Linked DNA regions of Ovis aries. The protein of the gene in region 1 interacts with the protein of each later gene in a biochemical or structural test. Links are inferred from orthologs where the notes say so. Each region holds a gene or a part of one and is shown in the gene's direction. Other genes may lie near its edges. The genes, in order: ASF1B and TLK2.

Region 1 (9,529 bases):
GCCAGCCCTGATGGGGTATGTCTGGTATGGCACTGCTTTGGGAATCTAAGATAACCCCTAGCTTCTATGATTCATGAAGAGGATTCATAGAATTCAGCATCTAGCCTACTCAAGGTATGATTCTGTTTGGGTTTTTGTTTTTGGTTCCCTGACCAGGAACTGAAACCATGCCCTCTGCCATGGAACCACGGAGTCCTAATGACTGGACTGCCAGGGAATTTCCCATGGTATGATTTCTTACTGTGAAAGGACACAAAGCAAAATCAGCCAAGAGAAAAGGAGCATGGGGCAAAGTCTGGAGAAAACCAGGCAGAAGCTTCCACAAGTCCTTTCCTGGTGAAGTCACATGGGACTCCCTGAGTTCCCACAGCAGAGCTGTGGCAACACGTGTGACATGCCTACCGGGAAAGCTCGGCACCTAGGGTAGCTGGGGCAGGAGGGGGCTGATCAAGTTTCAAACTTCCAGACTCCAGAAGGAAAGCAGGTGTTGGACCTAAATCACATTGTTTGTACAGTTTAGGCACCGCAAGCCACTTGTATCATTTAGGGAATGGTGGGAACTCTCCTGAAATCCAAGTTCCTATACACCAGCCGGGGCCAACCTTGCAAATAGGCCTTTCTAAGGACAGTGGTCTCAGGCCTGATACAGTTAACTCTTTTGCGCACAGGTATCTTCTGCAGGGCTTCCCAGGTGATGCTAGTGGTAAAGAACTCTGCCTGCCAGTGCAGGAGACGCAGGTTTGATCCCTGGGTCAGGAAGATCCCTTGGAGGCGGGCATGGCAACCCACTCTAATATTCTTGCCTGGGGAATCCCGTGAACAGAGGAGCCTGGGGGGCTACAGTCCATAGCGTCGCAGAGACGGACAAGAGTGAAGTGACTGAAGTGAATGGAGAGTTCCCACCATTCCCTAAATGACACAAGTGGCTCGCGGTGCCTAAACTGTACAATGCGGTTTGGGTCCAACACCTGCTTTCCTTCTGGAGTCTGGAAGTCTGAAACTTGATCAGCCCCCTCCCGCCCCAGCTACCCTAGGTGCCGAGCTTTCCCGGTAGACATGTCACACGTGGTGTCACAGCTCTGCTGTGGGAACTCAGGGAGTCCCATGTGACTTCACCAGGAAAGGACTTGTGGAAGCTTCTGCCTGGTTTTCTCCAGACTTTGCAGCAGCAGCATTTCCATAAAGTTGTAGAACGTGACATACAATACTATATATAGTTCGAAGACACCTATCAAAGATATACAAGCATGTACAGAAAGATAAACACTAAATCCAAGATTGTAGTTACATCTGAAAAGAGGGGAGGAATAGGTTTGAGGCAGGGATATATACGGCCTTTCAATTGCATCACTAATGTTTCACTTCTTAAGCTGGGTAAGGAGTAAAAATGTACTTTGTTATAGCATTTCTTCTTCTGAGTGAGTACACCTGAAATACTACGTAAGAAAAATGATGGCTATGCACTGCTGTTTCTTGTTTATGAAGTAGTTTTCACATTCCAGGTACCATGTAAGCCCTTTATAAGGATTTACTCTTTTTTAAAAACAATCTACTGAAAACTTTCTACATGTGAGGTCCTAACTGAGAGGTCTGTATGAGACAGGTGGGATCACTGTCCTCAACCAGCTTTCAGTCTACTGAGGGACGACAAGAGTTCCCTGGTGTTCTAGCGGTTAGCATTTGAGGCTTTCACTGCTGTGGCCCAGGTTCAATCCCCAGTCAGGGAACTGAGATTCCGCAAGCCATGCAGCGGAGCAAAAAAAAAAAAACATATCTACAGATTCTAGCAAGTGCTCCTAATAAGCAGGCTTTTGTGATAAATGAAGGTCTACTTTAACTAGGATGGTCCAAGAAGGCTTCTTTTGGAGAGACATCTGGGGTGAACCATATATGATGAGAATGAGACAGACAAGCAATTAGCTAAAGGAAGCACGTTCCAGGCAGAGGGAAGAGCAACTGCAAAGCCAGGCAGCAGGAATCAAGTTTGGTGTGTTGAAAGACAGGAAATAAAGCCAGGAGGGCTTGGGAGTGGTGACAAGAGGGAGACTGGCAGATGAGGTCAGTTGAGGCCACTGTGCAGGGCCTCCTAAGCCACAGTGAAGATCTTAAGTTTCATCCTAAGTATGATAAGCCTTTGAAGGTTTTAAGCAGAGTAATGACATGATCTAGTTTACAACTGAAGATTATTCAGCCAGCTGTAGGGAGAAGGCATTATAGACAGAGACATAATACTTGTGACTGATGAACTTTTCAGGGGCTATGAAAAGGTTGGGGCTGAGAATGAAAGAAAAAAAGTTCCACAATGCAGAAAGAAAACTACAAAGTTGTAATGAGTAAAATGTTTAATATCTAGAAAACAAAATATAACAACTTCATCAAAGTTCATATGCATAAGCAATTGAATTACATTTGGAAATAATTTGAAAATTTGACCTTCTCAAGTCACAAAAATTCCTAAGGATGCCCAATGACTGCCAAGAACCCAGAGCCAATCATAATGGGAATTTTCTTGCAGCCAAATCGTTTCAATGAGGGGAAGAATCCTTTCAATCCTACTTGAGATGGAGATACAAAAAAAAAAAAAAAAAAAGAGAGAGAATATTCTGAGCATCACGAGGCCACAGAGGTGGATGGATAAGAAATCCTAGTGGCTTGAAATGTACCGTTCAGGCTTATGTTCCACGAATTTGAATGTTGTCCAGGGGGCTCTTGGATTCTCCGAAGAAATTTGAGCAGAGACTTGAATAACAAGGAGGCACCAGAAAAGAGGTGGGGGGTGTCATGTCAGATTTTATGAAACAAAAAGGTCAGTTTGGCTGAAGTTGGTTTTGGCTATCCAATATCGGAAGCCACAGGGGATGACAAGCACCTCAGTGTGGCTAGTGCCACTGTGAAACAGAACATTCCACGTCGCTTAACTTTCATTAATTAATATTTCAATTTATCACCGACATGAGATTGAGTTCATGGGAAATTTTAACGTATGTTGGGAAACACTTGGGCATGTGAATCTCCATTTCAACTGTAAATTTTATGAAACCTCAACTATTTCCGGTGAAAACCTAGCGTCCGGATCACAGCTGTGGTGTAACGTGTAAAATACACAGGTTTTCAAACCGTTAGTACTAGGTAACAAAATAAAGATACCTCAGGTTCGTGTTTGTTTTTTTTTAATACCGATCACATGTTGAAATGATATTCTGGCTATACTACATTAAGTTTAATATATTTATATATATATATGTAACGTGGCTACTATAGAAAAGTTTAAGATTAGGTTTGTTGACGCCCGTGGAAGCGGACTAAAGGAATGCGGCGGCCCCTCGAGTCTTCCAGACAGGGGGCGACGGTGGTCCCGCCTACGCCTGGGAGTGGAAAGAAGTTTCTAGATGTATTATGTAGTCATAAGTCAGGCCAGTAAAATTTCATCACCCCGTTCAATGAGCAGGGAAATGAGGCCTCGGGTGGTGCGTGGCAGAGGCCGGATTCGAAATCCCATTCAGCGCCGTCCACCTGAAACCTCCCCAGGGGCTCTCAAGTAAGAACCTGATTCGAACCAGGCCCGACTACCGGGTCCCGGGCCCCAGAGCGCCGCGTTAGCGCGGCACCGTCTGCGCTCAAGGGTGAGTTAAACGTTCACAACGTTCACAACGGACGCCCAGCCTGCCGGGTCTGCGGGGCCAGGAGCCCCTTAGAGAAACTTCCGGCAACGCTCACCTGCTGACAGATGCCGATGCCGCAAACGCTGCTCCTTTCTCTTCACACTCTGCTCAACCGCGTCAGCGGCCGACTTCCGCTCCACTTCCACGAATCCCCGGCCGCGTCTTCTCTTCTCCCGCCCCCGCAGCCAACTCAGCCAATCACCTCTCAGGAAACCTGCTTTATCTCCGCCCCATTTCTGCCTGCCAATCACTGCAAGTCCAGCACGTCCCTTCCTTCCCGCTTAAGCGAGCGCTGTGCGCCACCACTCGGCGGTTGACTGCGCTGCCCCCAGCTGGAAGAGTCTCCCGGAAAGGCGGGGCTAATCGCGGACCACGCTGGTGCGGGGACCCTAGGGATTGGCCAAGAAGAGCCAGGCGCTCTGACCCCGCCCACCCCTCCCTGGACGTCCGAGTCGGAGACTCTGGGGATTGGTTCCCCGCGGACACCAAAGAAGCCTAGAGACGGTCCCGCCTCCCTCGCTCATCCCTGAGATGGAGCTCCACGGATTGGTCTCGGGAGTCTCGGCGCGCGCCGACCGGCGCTCCAGGATTGGCTGAGGAAGCACTCGCGCAGTCGTGGAGCGTTGACGGTGATTGGCCGTAGGGTGAGAGCCGGCTATTTGAAGGAGGCGCGCGGACTAGATACGCACTTCAGATCGCGGTCAGAGGAGGCGGGAGCGGGTTTGGGCAGAGCTTCGCCGCTGACCCGACAGGACCCAGGCGCGGGCTCGGCCCCAGCTCTGGCCTCAGCCGTGACCCGACGAGGCGATGGCTAAAGTGTCAGTATTGAACGTGGCGGTGCTGGAGAATCCGAGCCCTTTCCACAGCCCTTTCCGGTTCGAGATCAGCTTTGAGTGCAATGAGGCCCTGGCAGACGGTGAGATTGGGCCCTTGTGGAGACCCCACTCCCCTGAGCTAACCCCGACCTCCCTTTGCAGACAACCCCGAGGCCAACCCTGCCAAACACACTTCCTCTCCCCCTCCCCCTCCCCCAACCGCGATCTCCCTTGAACCAAAGCCCGCCCACCAGCCCCAACCCCGCCCCTTGGAGACTACCCACCGCACCCCACCCCCATGGTTACTCCTCTTTTCCCCTCATGGAGACCACTTCATCCTCCTCTTTCTCCTGGGCGTTCCTCCTGAGCATCTGTTTTCTGTGTAGAGACCTCAGCCTCAGTTCTTTAACCTGCAGAGACCCTCAGCCTTCCCATCTTCCTTGTAGCAAGAAACCCCCCATCTTCTGTTTCTGTATGGACAGACTACCATTCCAGCCACCCAATCCTCCCCCACCAATCCCCTCTCCCCTGTGGTGAGACACTTCCACCTCACTCTTTTCCTGTGGAGATGTAAGCTCTAGCCCCCTCCCGTGTCCCATATGAAAACCGCAGCCTCCTCCCTCATTTTCCCTGTGAAGATCCTCGCCCTCTGGCAAGACCTCACACATCCTTATCTCCCCATTTGTCTCCCCATAATATCCCCTACCTGCTGATACTTAACCCCACCCTACCCCCCTTCAGCTTGTTTCCTACCTCAAAACACATACCCTAGAAACTGGCTTCCCTCCTTAGTCTGGCCCCAACCCTCTACTTCCTCAAGAGAGGCATGACCTGGCTTCCTGCTCCAGTGTTTGAGGATGATCTGGTCTCCCCAGCTCCTCTTCCTTCCTCTTCCCTGACTGTGGGCTTCAATGAACACACTCAGATCTGAGGAGTGGCATGGCCAGGCACACGTTAGCTGGTTCCTGCTGTTGGCCTGCTGGATTCCTGCTGACCCACTGCAGCAAAGCTTGCAACACTTTTGATGGCCTGACCTCGACTTGCGCGGTGTGGGGTGGGTGTGCCAGGCCGAGCCATGGTGATGTTTGGCTTCAATCTGGGAGGTCACAGCCTTTTGTGCACCTTTTCCAAGGTGCTTTCACAGATGTGCTTATTCATCCCTGTGACAAAAGGCGGACATGGCTCTCATCTCACAGATGAGAAGGCGGGAGACAGAGTAAAAGACCTTTCAAGTAAAGGCCTATAAAAACCAGAAAGGCTAAGGTTGTTCAGCGAGTCTTGGCACCACTTTCAGGAGGAAGTACTTCCATTAGATGTCTTCTCTACTTGGTGGTTAGAAGAGAAGAGGCAGCCTCTAAGGAGGTAGAGATCTGGAAGGCAAGGGTGTGCTAAACTAGTCGTTCTCAGTGGTTGGTGGGTGGTTTGCCTACAAATGGGCTTCTCCAACTAACATGGGGTTGAAGAGTTTTGATGTGTGCTTGGGTGGGGCCATTGGATCACTCCCTGCTTTCTCTCGTTTTTAAATCAAGGAGTCATTCTACTTATGACTAACTATAGAATATGCCCAGTTAAATCCTTTCTGGAACAAGGCGGGGTGTAAATAAATAAATAAAGTGTAGAATGACCCTGTGGAATAAGATTTAATTTTAAAGCCAGGAGATGTAAGGAGCTAATAGTTCAAGGGATTCATAGTTCCCAGATGGCAGGAGATCGGGTTTCAATCAGCCTGTTTGAGCTCCTGGCATTTAAAAATGGTTGCATGGTCATTATCTAGTACTTTCATTCCTGCAAAGCTACTGCCCTGTTACTTTATTAATCTGTTTATAGAATCAGGAGAGTCTAAAGTCAACCTGCTGGTCATTGTTTTTTATTTGTGTTATATTTTGTTTAAGATTTATTTATTTTTGGCTGAGCTAGATCTTCGGTGCTTTGCTCAGGCTTTCTCTAGTTGGGGTGAGCAGTGACTACTCTTCGTTGTGGTGCATTGGACTTCTTGCTGCGGTGGCTTCTCTTGTTGAGGGGCACAGGCTCTAGGTGAGCAGGCTTCAGTAATTGGAGCGCTCGGGAGTAGTTGCTCCACAGCATGTAAGGTCTTCCCGGACCAGGGATCAAACCCATGTCCCCTGCTTTGGCAGGTGGATTCTTAACCACTGGACCACCAGGGAAATCCCTAAAGACAGTTCTTTCTTTCCCCAAGGTCATTATTTTTCTAATGGAAACAAAATGATTTTTCCAAGGTCACACAGCTGGTGTGTAGAATTATTCACAACTAGGTCTTGTTTCTGAGTTCTGAGTCCAGGGTTCTTTATCTTTGCTATAAACTGGAAAAGAATGCACCCACTATTTTAGAAGTGAGACATAAACAGGACAGAAGAGGGCAACAGGGTCTTATTATTAATTATACCTGAACAATAAAGCTTTTGCTCAGAAGAATTCCAGTTGGAAAGCCAACTCTGGCCTGGAAGTCTACACTCTCTGGTTGTACCTGTAGGGCTGTGCTTCACTCTGACCTGTCAACATGCTTTCTGCCTCTTCCCACAGAGCAGAAAGGATTTGTCTCCTGCCTCCCAAACAAATGGAGTAGGCCTGGCTTTAGAAGTCTCTTAGATTCTGGAGAAATTCTCAGTCAGCCTTATTACCTGGTAACTGAAGATCTGAACACCCAGCCCCAACTCTGAGCCATTTCTCAAGGGCTCTGAAATGTTTTAACTCTCTCTCCCTCTCCCCGCTCAGCAGCATGTGGAAATAGATGCGTCCAAGGCCTGGGTCTGTATTCAATACATTGGGTGTGTTTTCCCCCAGTTTAGTTGAGAGATTCATGAGATACTGCCTGAACAAGTCTTAGAGCCAGATTTTCTGACCTACACCGAACACGCTGTGGTCAGGCCAAGGTTCAACTGTATTATGAACAAAGGGAAAGTGATAAACAGAAAAAGGCATACTAGATAAGTTGTTGGGGTTGGGGTTGTTTTGTTGTTTTTTTGATTGTTTGGGACTTGTGTGTGTGTGGCTACGATGGGTCTTCATTGCTGCACTTGGGCTTTCTCTAGTTGGGAGCAGGAGCTACTCTTCGTCATGGTGCTTGGGTGTCTCATTGCAGGAGGCTTCTCTTGTTGTGGAGCCTGGGCCCTAGGATGAGCAGACTTCAGTAGCTGTGGCACACGGGCTCAGTGGTTGCGGCGCATGGAGTTGGTTACCCTGAGACCTGTTGGGATCATCCTGGACCAGGGATGGAGCCTGTGTCTCCTGCATTACAGGTGGAGTCTTATCTACCGTGCCACCAGGGTAGTCCTGTTTGTGTTTTGGGGGGGACAGGAAACAGATTCTCCTGCTAGTTCAACTACCGTAATTTTTTTTATGTTTTTCATCATACCGTTGGTCTGGATTTTGTTTTCATACATAGTGGAGGAGCATTTTGTGCAGTGGTTAGATGATAAAGTTAAGGCATAAAGTCAAAACAATGGAATCCATTTACCCTTGGAATTACTTAGAAGGCTAGGCATACGTTACACATGTGCGACCTTAATTCATATTCAGCAGGAATGAATTTGTGCTGTTTGTGATTGACGTCCTCACAGCTCATTCAAAAAAGTGAAGTCATTTCAGGATGCCTCTGCTTAAGAGTCCTTGTTTTAGTCATCTTCCATCTTCCATAGATGATTTTATAAACTCTTTAACTTATTTTTTTTTAATATTTATTTATTTATTTGACTGCCCCGAGTCTTAGTCACAGTATGCGGAATCTCTTTAGTTGTGACATGCGAACTCTTATTAGCAGCATGTGGGGTCTAGTTCCCCAACCAGGGATTGAACCTGGGCCCGCTGCATTGGGAGCTCGGAATCTTAGCCACTGGACCACCAGGGAAGTCCCTCAGCTCCTTAATTCCTGAGTGAGTATTGTCGGCCTTGGTTAATTCTCTGGTTTCTTTCTGACCTGAGTACTGGGAACCACTTCAACCCATTCGCCTGACCACCTGCGTTTCTCTCTTCCAGTCTGCACCCACACAGGCTTGTTTAGGTTTTGCCAACAGGTGTTTTTGGGTTTGGGCCATTCCGTGCCAAATTTGGGATCTCAGTTCCCTGACAACCAGGCCACAGCAGTGGAAGACGGAAATCCTAACCACTAGGCAACCAGGGAACTCCGTTGTCAACAGCGTTGAAAACTGAGTGCCAGTCGCATACACTAGGCCCTATTCTATTAAAATTTCCCTTTTGTATCCACCCTCAGCACGTTAGTCATGCTTCCCAGGTGGCTCAGTGGTAAAGGAATCTGCCTGCCAATGCAGGAGACTCGGGTTTGATCCTGGGTTGGGAAGATCTCCTGGAGGAGGAAATGGCAACCCACTCCAGTATTCTTGCCTGGAGAATTCCACAGACAGAGGAGCCTGGAGGGCTACAGTCCATGGGGTCACAAGAGTCGGACACAGCTTAGCCACTGAGCACATAATGCAACACGTTAGTTAAGTGCGCACATATGTGACTCCACTGATGATGGGGAAGGCGGCCAGAAGGAAAGACACCAGATGATAGAACTGTGTCAGAAAGGTGAGAACAGGGCTAGCTTGTTTTCTGTTCATCCAAAAACGTGTTATTTTGGGTTGTGTCACTACTTGTAGCAAAAATAAATCAGTAAGCTTAACTCCTTCCTGCAAGTAAGAGAATGGGCTTTGACTGAAGCCCAGTTCAGTCCAATGGCCACCCACATCCTGTAGACCTGATAAGGTCCCTGAGTAGAAGGCCGGGTGTCAGCTGTGAAAGGGCAGGAAACCAGCGTATCGAGGAAGGGCGTGGAGCTCAGGTGACAGGCCCCCATAGTTGTGGCCCGGCATTGCTGTGCTTCCGAAGTTGGGTGCCCTGCGACTTCCCCGGTGGTCCAGTGGCTGAGATGCCAAGCTTCCAATGCGGGGGGGCTCAGGGTTCAATCCTCGGTTGGGGAACTAAGATCCCACGTGCTGTATGGCAAAGCCAAAAATAAAAGTTAAAAAAGGGACTGCCACGGTTCAAATTAGATTTAGGACATGATAAGATTAATAAGGAACAGGGGTCTAAGGA
Region 2 (9,056 bases), on another chromosome or scaffold:
GAAAACAGAGTGAAGGAAGGCTAGAGGACTTGATGGCCTTGAATGGAGCGGCTGTGTGGGAGCAGTGGGGCAGTGGGTGAATCAGGAGGGTCCTGGAAGAGCCCCGAAGGACAGGGCGAAATGCAAAATGTTAAATGCTTCCCTGTAAACAGAATACAGATATTTCCCTTTTGTTCACAGGCATGCATGTAGGGAATACCGGATTCACAAAGAACTGGATCATCCCAGAATAGTTAAGCTGTATGATTACTTTTCACTGGACACTGACTCGTAAGTACTATGCCATTTCTAGCTTAGCAGAGAATATGATTTTCTTGCAGTGTGTTGATGACTCAGGGAATGGAATTTAAATCTGGGTCCGGAAAATACTGCCTGAGGGGGCTAAATGTATTTACGGGCAAATGATTGTATTTGAATTCAGATTGGGGCCAGCAAGACATGCATTTCTTGGCCACAGGATGGGTGCACTTGTGTGCTAGTCAGTGCTTAACAACCAGCTTGGAGGGGAAGGCATAGGGCTGATGGGTACTGTTTGCCAGTTTCTATGAAATAAGACTCTGAACATGTCCAGTTTTTTTGAAAAGGGGGGGCAGCTTTATTGAGATAGGTTTATATACCATATGGTTCACTCATTTAAAAGCACACAGTATTCATAGGTACGTTGAGGCCATGACCGTAGTCAGTTTTAGAACATTTTTTCCACCTCAGAAAGAAATCCTGTACCTTGTTCTGTAATCCCCCTTTTCCTCCACTCCACTGCTGCTGTAAGCAACCGCCTGTCTGCTTTTTGTGTCTATAGATCAGCTATTCTGGGACTTTCATAGGATGGATCATGTAGTGTGTGAACTTTTGTGGCTGGCCTCTTTCCCTTAGCATGGTATTCTTTTAAGGTTCTTCTTGTGTCATTTATCAGTACTTCATTCTGTTTCATGACTAAATATATTCTACTGTATGCAAATACTACCTTTTGTTTATCCATTTATCCTACCAGTGGCTTAAAAACTAGCTCACAAGATTTCTGAAATTTAACTCTCAGCTCTCAGAAACTGGTACAAATTGGTGCTGGCATACCACAGACAAGCAACAGTCAAGTGAGGCTGATGAACACTGATGGGCCTTTTGAAGTTCTAGCAGTATGATTTCATCATAGAATTAGAATGAAATGTGGCAGAGTCTAATGCTACATCTGAAAATATAGGTTGGTTCAGAGGCCTATAGGGATTTCAGTCCAGCCTTCTCACTTTGTAGGTGGAGAGTTGAGGACCAGAGAAGCTACATGACTTGTCTGAAATCTTTAATAATCGTAGGCATTGTTGTATTTCATTACTTGGTATAGGTAAGCTCTTGATCTCTTGGTTTATCCAGGAGTTTAGAAATAGTTCAGCATTTGTAAACATCTTCTCTGTTGGAGGCTGAATTGAATCAGGAAAGCATGCTTAGGCCTGGCCCGCAGGGGTTTCCTTCCCCCTCCCAGATGGCGGCTGTCTCAGAGCTTGATGTGTGAGAGCCCATCCACATTTAGAAATGGCCCCAAAGGGAGACCATAATTCCCTTTGGAAACATCCACTCAGGGATTTCCCCTTTCCAGTCAAGTGCAGTCAGCACAGTGCTGTGCGTGGTGTGGAGTGGGTTTCAGGAAAACAGCGAGTTAAAAAGCAGGTCTCCACAGGGTAGCTTTATTGTTTTGCTTTCAACAAGTTCCTTGAATACTAGGAAGGACACACATACCCCCCAAATATAAGCGCAAAAATCATTTCAAAAATAAATACAATGACTTGGATTATCTGCTGTTTTGAATTGTATACACACTTTTAACTAATATGAGAAATTGAGCTGATTTTGCACTACTCTTGAGCTGTTTACTTTGTTCTTCCTGTTGTGTGTATGGTGAATTTTTCCCCAAAATAAGTCAAATCTTTGTTTTAGAAAGTTGTCTGAGAGTTGAGTATTAAAAATGAGATTTTATTTTCAGCTTGCATTGGGTCCAAAATAAATTCACTAAGCCTGAGAGTCTATGCCTCAGATTTCAGCATATCAGATCAGAGAAATTGATACATTCTAGGCCTATTTTCTCAAATAGAATGCTAGCATGTTGGGACGTGCTATGTTTTGTAAGAAGCATGAGCTGTTGGTCAGTTTGGGGGTCCCTTGGGACTGTGTGTGTCCACATTTTGTTGCTTTGCTTCCTGAAGGTCTTCAGTGGCCCATAGGCCCTGAATGTGAGTCCTGCGTCAGTTTGGTCTTAGATGAGTTGGCCCTTGTAGGCTGTGTTCACCAGGCTCTTTTGTCAGTTGTTCAATGGGATTAATTCAATGGGGAGACAGAAGTGGTGGTGGGTGGAGACTCCTCCCCCCATGGTTCCAGGTTCCCTGGTGACCCTGGTTCTGATTGCACCATCTCCACCCTCTGGCATTAGGGTGCTAATGACTTCCTGCTCTAGATGATTTCTAGCGTGCTCACTGGCCACTTTGTCTTCTCAGCTCTTCCATCATCTGTGTGATTAGTTCTCTGAATTAAAGCCTCTCTGTTTTAAATACTCCAGTAATTTTTATTTGCCAGCAAGACCCTGAGTGATTTCACCACATTGTTACAGCTTCAGTTCAGTTCAGTCACTCAGTCTTGTCCGACTCTTTGCGACCCCGAGAATCACAGCACGCCAGGCCTCCCTGTCCATCACCAACTTCCCGAGTTCACTCAAACCCAGGTCCATCGAGTCGGTGATGCCATCCAGCCATCTCATCCTCTGTCGTCCCCTTCTCCTCCTGCCCCCAATCCCTCCCAGCATCAGAATCTTTTCCAATGAGTCAACTCTTCTCATGAGGTGGCCAAAGTATTGGAGTTTCAGCATCAGTCCTTCCAATGAACACCCAGGACCAATCTCCTTTAGGATGGACTGGTTGGATCTCCTTGCAGTCCAAGGGACTCTCAAGAGTCTTCTCCAACACCACAGTTCAAAAGCATCAATTCTTCGGCACTCACATCCATACATGACCACTGGAAAAACCATAGCCTTGACTAGATGGACCTTTGTTGGCAAAGTAATATCTCTGCTTTTAAAATAGTTTAAAAGGTATTCATCTCTCAGGAAGCCTAGCTTCAGTTTATGACTGCCTTGGAAGACAGACACATGACCCTTCATACCGTGAATGCTGCACAGCTTTAGATCTGTGTGACGTACTGGTATAAGTGAAAGAAAGAACTCATACTATATAATGATACATTTGTTAGAACTACAGATGCTGTCCTTTAAAAAGCTCTTTTATACCTTGTGTATTTAACAAAGAAAAATCATAGTATATGCAGTCTGCTAGGAGCAGTAGTATGCAGTCAGCCATGGGGACCTGGGCAAACCCTAGATTCTTTCTTACTGTCAGCACCCGGGGTCATATAAAATGTTTCCAGTGAGGACTGTGTATTTGATCCTAACATACTTGTTTAGAAAGGGAGCATCCTGTGGATAGTAGAGTAAGTGTCCAGCTTAAACACATGACAGTTCCTGCCCGTATTCCTGAAGTCTGATGCAAGAAGCCGTGTGCCCTGGGTGAACTTTAGCAGAGCAGGTTCCAATGTGAAGGGTGCAGACACTCTTCACTAAGAGTTGGCGGTTTACTTCCTGTAAACTGCTAATACTGAATAGAGAGTAAAAGAGTATTTTAAAGAGCAAAGAAGAAGGAAGTGAGAAGCCATCTACCTTAGCAGTCCCCAACCTTTTTGGCACCAGGGACCAATCGTGTATGTGGAAGACAATTTTTCCACAGATGGGGCAGGGGGTGGGGGGTGACTTTGGGATGATTCAAGCTCATTACATTTATTATGCACTTTATTTCTATTATTATCACAGCAGCTCCACCTCAGATCATCAGCATTAGATCCCAGAGGTTGGGGACCTCTGAATTACCCGATGGTTTCACTGGGGCTTGTTTAGTTAGACTTAATCTGCTTGCTTTTATCCCACAATCAAGTGTTGGTTTATTTGTCTTTAGGTTTTGTACAGTACTAGAATACTGTGAGGGAAATGATCTGGACTTCTACCTGAAACAGCACAAATTAATGTCGGAGAAAGAAGCCCGATCCATTATCATGCAGATTGTGAATGCTTTAAAGTACTTAAATGAAATAAAACCTCCTATCATACACTATGACCTCAAACCAGGTATGTCTAATTTTTAGGAGACAGTATTGGTGGTATTTCTTTGGTCTTATAAGTAACTTTCAATTTTATAAAGTTACGGGATTTGGTGGGGGCCAGAAAGGCCTAATAAAATCGGACTCTAAATTGCTGGGTAGGTGTGGGAATAAGAGTCCTAGCTGCACAGCACGGGGTTTAGGAGGTTGGGTCGTATTCAGTGCTCTGGAGAAACAATGCCCTTGTCTTTAGAGCCAGGGCAGTTCATGATGTCAGTCCGATTAAGAAAGAACTGCTCTGGCAAGCTTGGTTTTGTTTTTCCCCATTACTCACACCGCACAGCAATCCTTCTACCCCAAGTCTCTTTGATAAGTGCCCTCACATTAGCAAATGATTCTCCAAGTATGCCCCCCATTTCATTAAATTCTGAGCAGAGTTTTCCATCTTTTTGTATGGTTACTATCTAACTTTGATAGTTGTTGGCAGGGGAGAGAGCAGTTTGACTTCTGTCTGTTGTCTTCCTCAGCTGTTGCTTAGAAGTCTGCCTGTGTGCTCTTCAGACAGCTCTATCCAGCTGAGCTTAGGTGTTGGGAAGAGTCCCCTTTACCTCCTGGTGGGGACAGTTAACTTTGCCATCCTCTTCTGATAGCTACATATTAAATCTCACTATTTTTTAATGACTAAAGTGAAAGTTGCTCAGTCATGTCTGACTCTTTGCGACCCCATGGACCATACAGTCCATGGAATTCTTCAGGAGTGGGTAGCCTTTCCCTTCTCCAGGGCATCTTCCCAACTCAGGAATCGAACGCAGGTCTCCCTTACTGCAGGCAGATTCTTTACCAGCTAAGTCACAAGGGAAGCCCCTTTAATGACTAAATAAATGACTAAAAAATTCATTACAAGGAAGTGATTTTTTAAAAGATGGCTGCTGTGTGATTGGGTTTTCTGTTACTGAATCCATTACATTTTCCTGGCCCAGGAGCTGTAGGTGGCACTGTGGTACTAACTTAGATTCCCGTGTATGTTTTCTTTGATTCCACACCACCCTTCCCAAACTACTGTTCCAAACAGGGTGGCTTAGAGATCCGTCCTGAAAGTTCAGATGAAAGTTTCCCACTATTTTTGACCAACCATACAAATGATATTTTACTTGGGCTAGTTAATTATTTTTTTCCACTGCTCATAGTGCTGGTTTTGGCACATTAAGCAGGTGATTCTTGGAAAAGAGAAATTTGCAGCCAGATACTTACGACTCTCCTCTAGCATCCAGAGTCCAGAATGTTTTATTGCAGAGATTTAAATGTTTGCTCTTATGTGTAAGAGTTGGAGTCCAGTTGTCCTCTTCTTGTCTGTTATTACTACCTTGGCTTTTCCTAGTAAGTCTCTTTTTTATTCATGAAGATTTTTATCTTTTTAGGTAATATTCTTTTAGTAAATGGTACAGCATGTGGAGAGATAAAAATCACAGATTTTGGTCTTTCCAAGATAATGGATGATGATAGCTACAATTCAGTGGATGGTATGGAGCTAACGTCACAAGGCGCTGGTACTTACTGGTAGGTGTCTGAAAGATGGAGGTGTGGCTATGCTGTGCTGGAGTGTTGGTGATTGTTCATTAGACTATATTCTGTCTGCTTAGGCAGAAATGCTGTATATCATAGTAGACTTTCCTCTCCAAATATTTGCTGTCTTGTCAGCAGTTTGACTCTTTGTATTTACATGAATTTGTCTTAATTTTTCTTCTTATTCTTAAAAACCATTGAGAGAGGGATTATGCGTGACCAGGCATTTTGAGTTGTGTTTGCTCCGTAGGTCAGGCCCTACCGTGTACATAGAGAATGAGGTTACTCGTGTGTATGTAAAGACTGGCCCTCACTTCCTTTCAGAATTTCAAATGCAGGTCTCTCTCTTCCTGAGTTGATGGGTTGAGGAAGTTTTTTCTAACGTTGCCTGAAGATGGTGGACTGAAGAACCCAAGAGTTTTAAAGATTAGGATGTAAAATAAGCACAGCATCCCTTGAGATCTAAACAGGAAAAAGTGAGCATGATTTGCCAAGAATTGTATCCATTTCTGGCAGCCATGCTCCAAGAGGTGTGGGCCGCATTTCTTCCCATCTGCTGTCACTCGCCCACCCCCAGCCACTCTGCCCAGCTGGCTCTGCCTGCCTGTTGTGTGCCCTGTCTTACTCCGTCTCCTACTCCTTTTGACAGTAAGCACCATGAAAGATACCTGTGGCTCACGCATTTGACTTTGTGATTGTAAAGGTGTTAGCAGAGCTTCCTTTTCATTTCTGAGGTGGTAACACAAAGCCACACATTGGAATGTTTGATTCTGAACATGGAGAAGCCTCCTGTAGCATTAAAGGAGGGGAAATGCATGCAGTTAAATCCCAAGGTCAGTTGGCCAGATCACTGATGTTTGAGACTAGACGACCCTGGCCCTTAGCCAGTCAGTGACTGGGAATGAGGGTGTTGATGGGAAGCAGACAGAGAAGAGGGGAACATCAGCCCTGTTGTCACCCCCACCATACTGAAGAGTCGATCATGCCCTGCTAAAAGCCCCGTGTACACACAATCCCAACTCTCCTTTGTTCCTTAGTGTTTGCGGAGATGGTACCTATAGTGAAAATCAGTCCCTAAATTAAAACTTTGAGATTCTAGGTTTAAAATAGAAGCTACACTTACAGTGTTTATTCACTTGGTGGTTTTTGTGGGTTCCTGTCAGTAAATGATACAAAAATATCTGCTGTTGGAAATTCTGGAAGCAGGTCTATACCTCTGTTTTATAAATTCGCTAGAACTTGGATTTGAACTTTTTCATTTGATAGCTTGTTCTTTTTTAAAGGTGAAGATTTTTCACATTTAAATTAGCTATCTCATTGCTGCCTGTTGCTGTATTTGCTAAGCCATAAAAGTCAGTAGTTTGGCATTTACATAAAAGTATGTAATGTTTGGGATTTGCTTCAAAGGAATCTGGGGGAGATTAAGAGGGGTGTACATGAACAAAGATTTGCCATGTTGACAGTTACTGAAGCTGGATGATGTTTACTTGGGGGTTCATTTTATGATGTTTTTCTACTTTATATTTGAAGACTTTTTTTTTTTTTTTCATGGTAAGAGTAAGGTAGAAAGGAAGCTACTGAGAAAATTCAATTGTTTGAGTTTCTGTGAAGGTTTAAAAAGTAAAAATTCTCCATATTGGTGTTTCTAATCACCGTCCTCACTGTCATCCTCATATTATGTCCCAGAAAGATACAGACAGAATGTGAGGACATAACAAATTTTAAGTGAGCATTTGCAGCGTTTGGTTGTTCCAGAATTCTTCTGCATGGAATACTGCTTTTAAACAAGTAACCCATAGACTAGGCTTTGAGAATCATTTAGACTAGGCTTTGAGAGGATTTTATCATGATGGCATATGCAGTTATGTTTGTTTTTTAAACACGATTTAGTGCAATATCTTAGAACCCTCTTCTATTCTCCCTCCCAAAGTCCTTGATAGGGACTTAGAATGCTTATTATATGGGTGAAGAACTAATCTGTTTCTTCATTTATAGATGGGGAAACTGAGACCTAGAAGGTGATATGCTAAACTTAAACTATTAAGAGACAATGTCTCCTGTATTCTCATTATTTGACCAAATTATTACTTTGCATTTGGATAAGTCCAGCAATCTCCATTTTTCCTCACCACAAACAAGAACTTACTTCTTCCCCACCATTACCACAAAAAAGTTATAAGTACATTAAAAGATCATTTTAGAATCAAGGTTTTGTTATTTATCCAAGCTCATATTTAAATTATGTATATTAAAGGATTAAAAGCCATGAAAACCTGGGATTCAGGGAGATTTTAGTGGCATTTGGATGAGCTGTTCTTTTTATAGATTCTTTCATCTATATTTTTATTTCTTTCCCTTTCTCTCCCCATGCTCCCCTTGTGAGTTTTCTGTCTATATTTTCATTTTTCAGTGTATGTTTTGGCTAGACACTTTCATTGTGAAATAATAATCTAAGTCAATGGTCTTAATAATTTTAAAACGACTATTAAAAGAAGTAGCGTAAAACTAAACTTCTTAAAAAAAGCCCATCATCTGAACATTTTCTGCCTCTCAACTCTTATGATCCCCTTTCAGCTATACATTTAGGTTTTTACATCAGAAGCACAGCAGGGTTTAAAATAGTTTTTCACAAAACTGATTTTGCCAGCATGAAATCTGCAGAGGTCGATCTGTTATCTTTAGAATTCTGCCTTCCAGCTGTGCCAATGCTAAGACTCCAGGCAGTGAGGAGAGGCATATTATTTGGTTTCCTAAATGCTAAGAGGCACTTACCTTCCACACCATACAATTTGGTGTGGTTGGCTGTCCAGCTAGTCTTTTTAGAGGTCAGGAGTGGGTGGGGAGGGAAGGAATTCAGATGAGGATTGAGTTGGGCCAACAGCTAGTAGTTTATTTGGCTTTTAGGCACTATTTGTTAGTCTTCCATAAGCCCCTGATCATCCTTAAAGTAGGAAATATAAACTGTCCCTTCATAATTTGAACTTTAATGCCACCATTGATTATAATTGTAGTCAGTCTAGATTTCCAGAAGAGGCTACCTTAAGAAGACACTTAATAGCCACTCTCCTCAGAGATTTATACTGGATCCTGAATTCATTTGGATTTTTACGAGTTATTTATTTTACAGACTGTTTCTTCTTCTGTCAGCGTGAAAGGAAATAACACCACTTGTATTTTAATTTTGTTGCTACAGCTATCATAAAAGGAAATGCACTTCTGTGTTTCCCTCCTCTTTTTAAACACTTGCTGAATGACATTTTACACTAGGCACAGGCCTGGAAAAGAATGCTTGGGTGGGTAAAGTAGGAACTAGGGAGAATATTTACCTCTCTCAGTAAATAAGAAATAGGACATGACCACCTCCTTAA

Evidence for each region.
Region 2: of the proteins of ASF1B (region 1) and TLK2, one has a biochemical effect on the other in vitro, tested with the Homo sapiens proteins (3 studies listed by BioGRID). The link is inferred for Ovis aries from reciprocal best matches to the Homo sapiens genes ASF1B and TLK2.

What each region holds. Positions count from the first base shown.
Region 1 is NC_056058.1:9,896,976-9,906,504, forward strand, and holds the start of ASF1B (histone chaperone ASF1B), read left to right. Parts: upstream 1-4,349; 5' UTR 4,350-4,469; coding exon 4,470-4,578; intron 4,579-9,529. UniProt on the Homo sapiens protein: Histone chaperone that facilitates histone deposition and histone exchange and removal during nucleosome assembly and disassembly. Cooperates with chromatin assembly factor 1 (CAF-1) to promote replication-dependent chromatin assembly.
Region 2 is NC_056064.1:46,752,906-46,761,961, forward strand, and holds part of TLK2 (serine/threonine-protein kinase tousled-like 2), read left to right. Parts: intron 1-180; coding exon 181-270; intron 271-3,983; coding exon 3,984-4,153; intron 4,154-5,543; coding exon 5,544-5,682; intron 5,683-9,056. UniProt on the Homo sapiens protein: Serine/threonine-protein kinase involved in the process of chromatin assembly and probably also DNA replication, transcription, repair, and chromosome segregation. Phosphorylates the chromatin assembly factors ASF1A and ASF1B.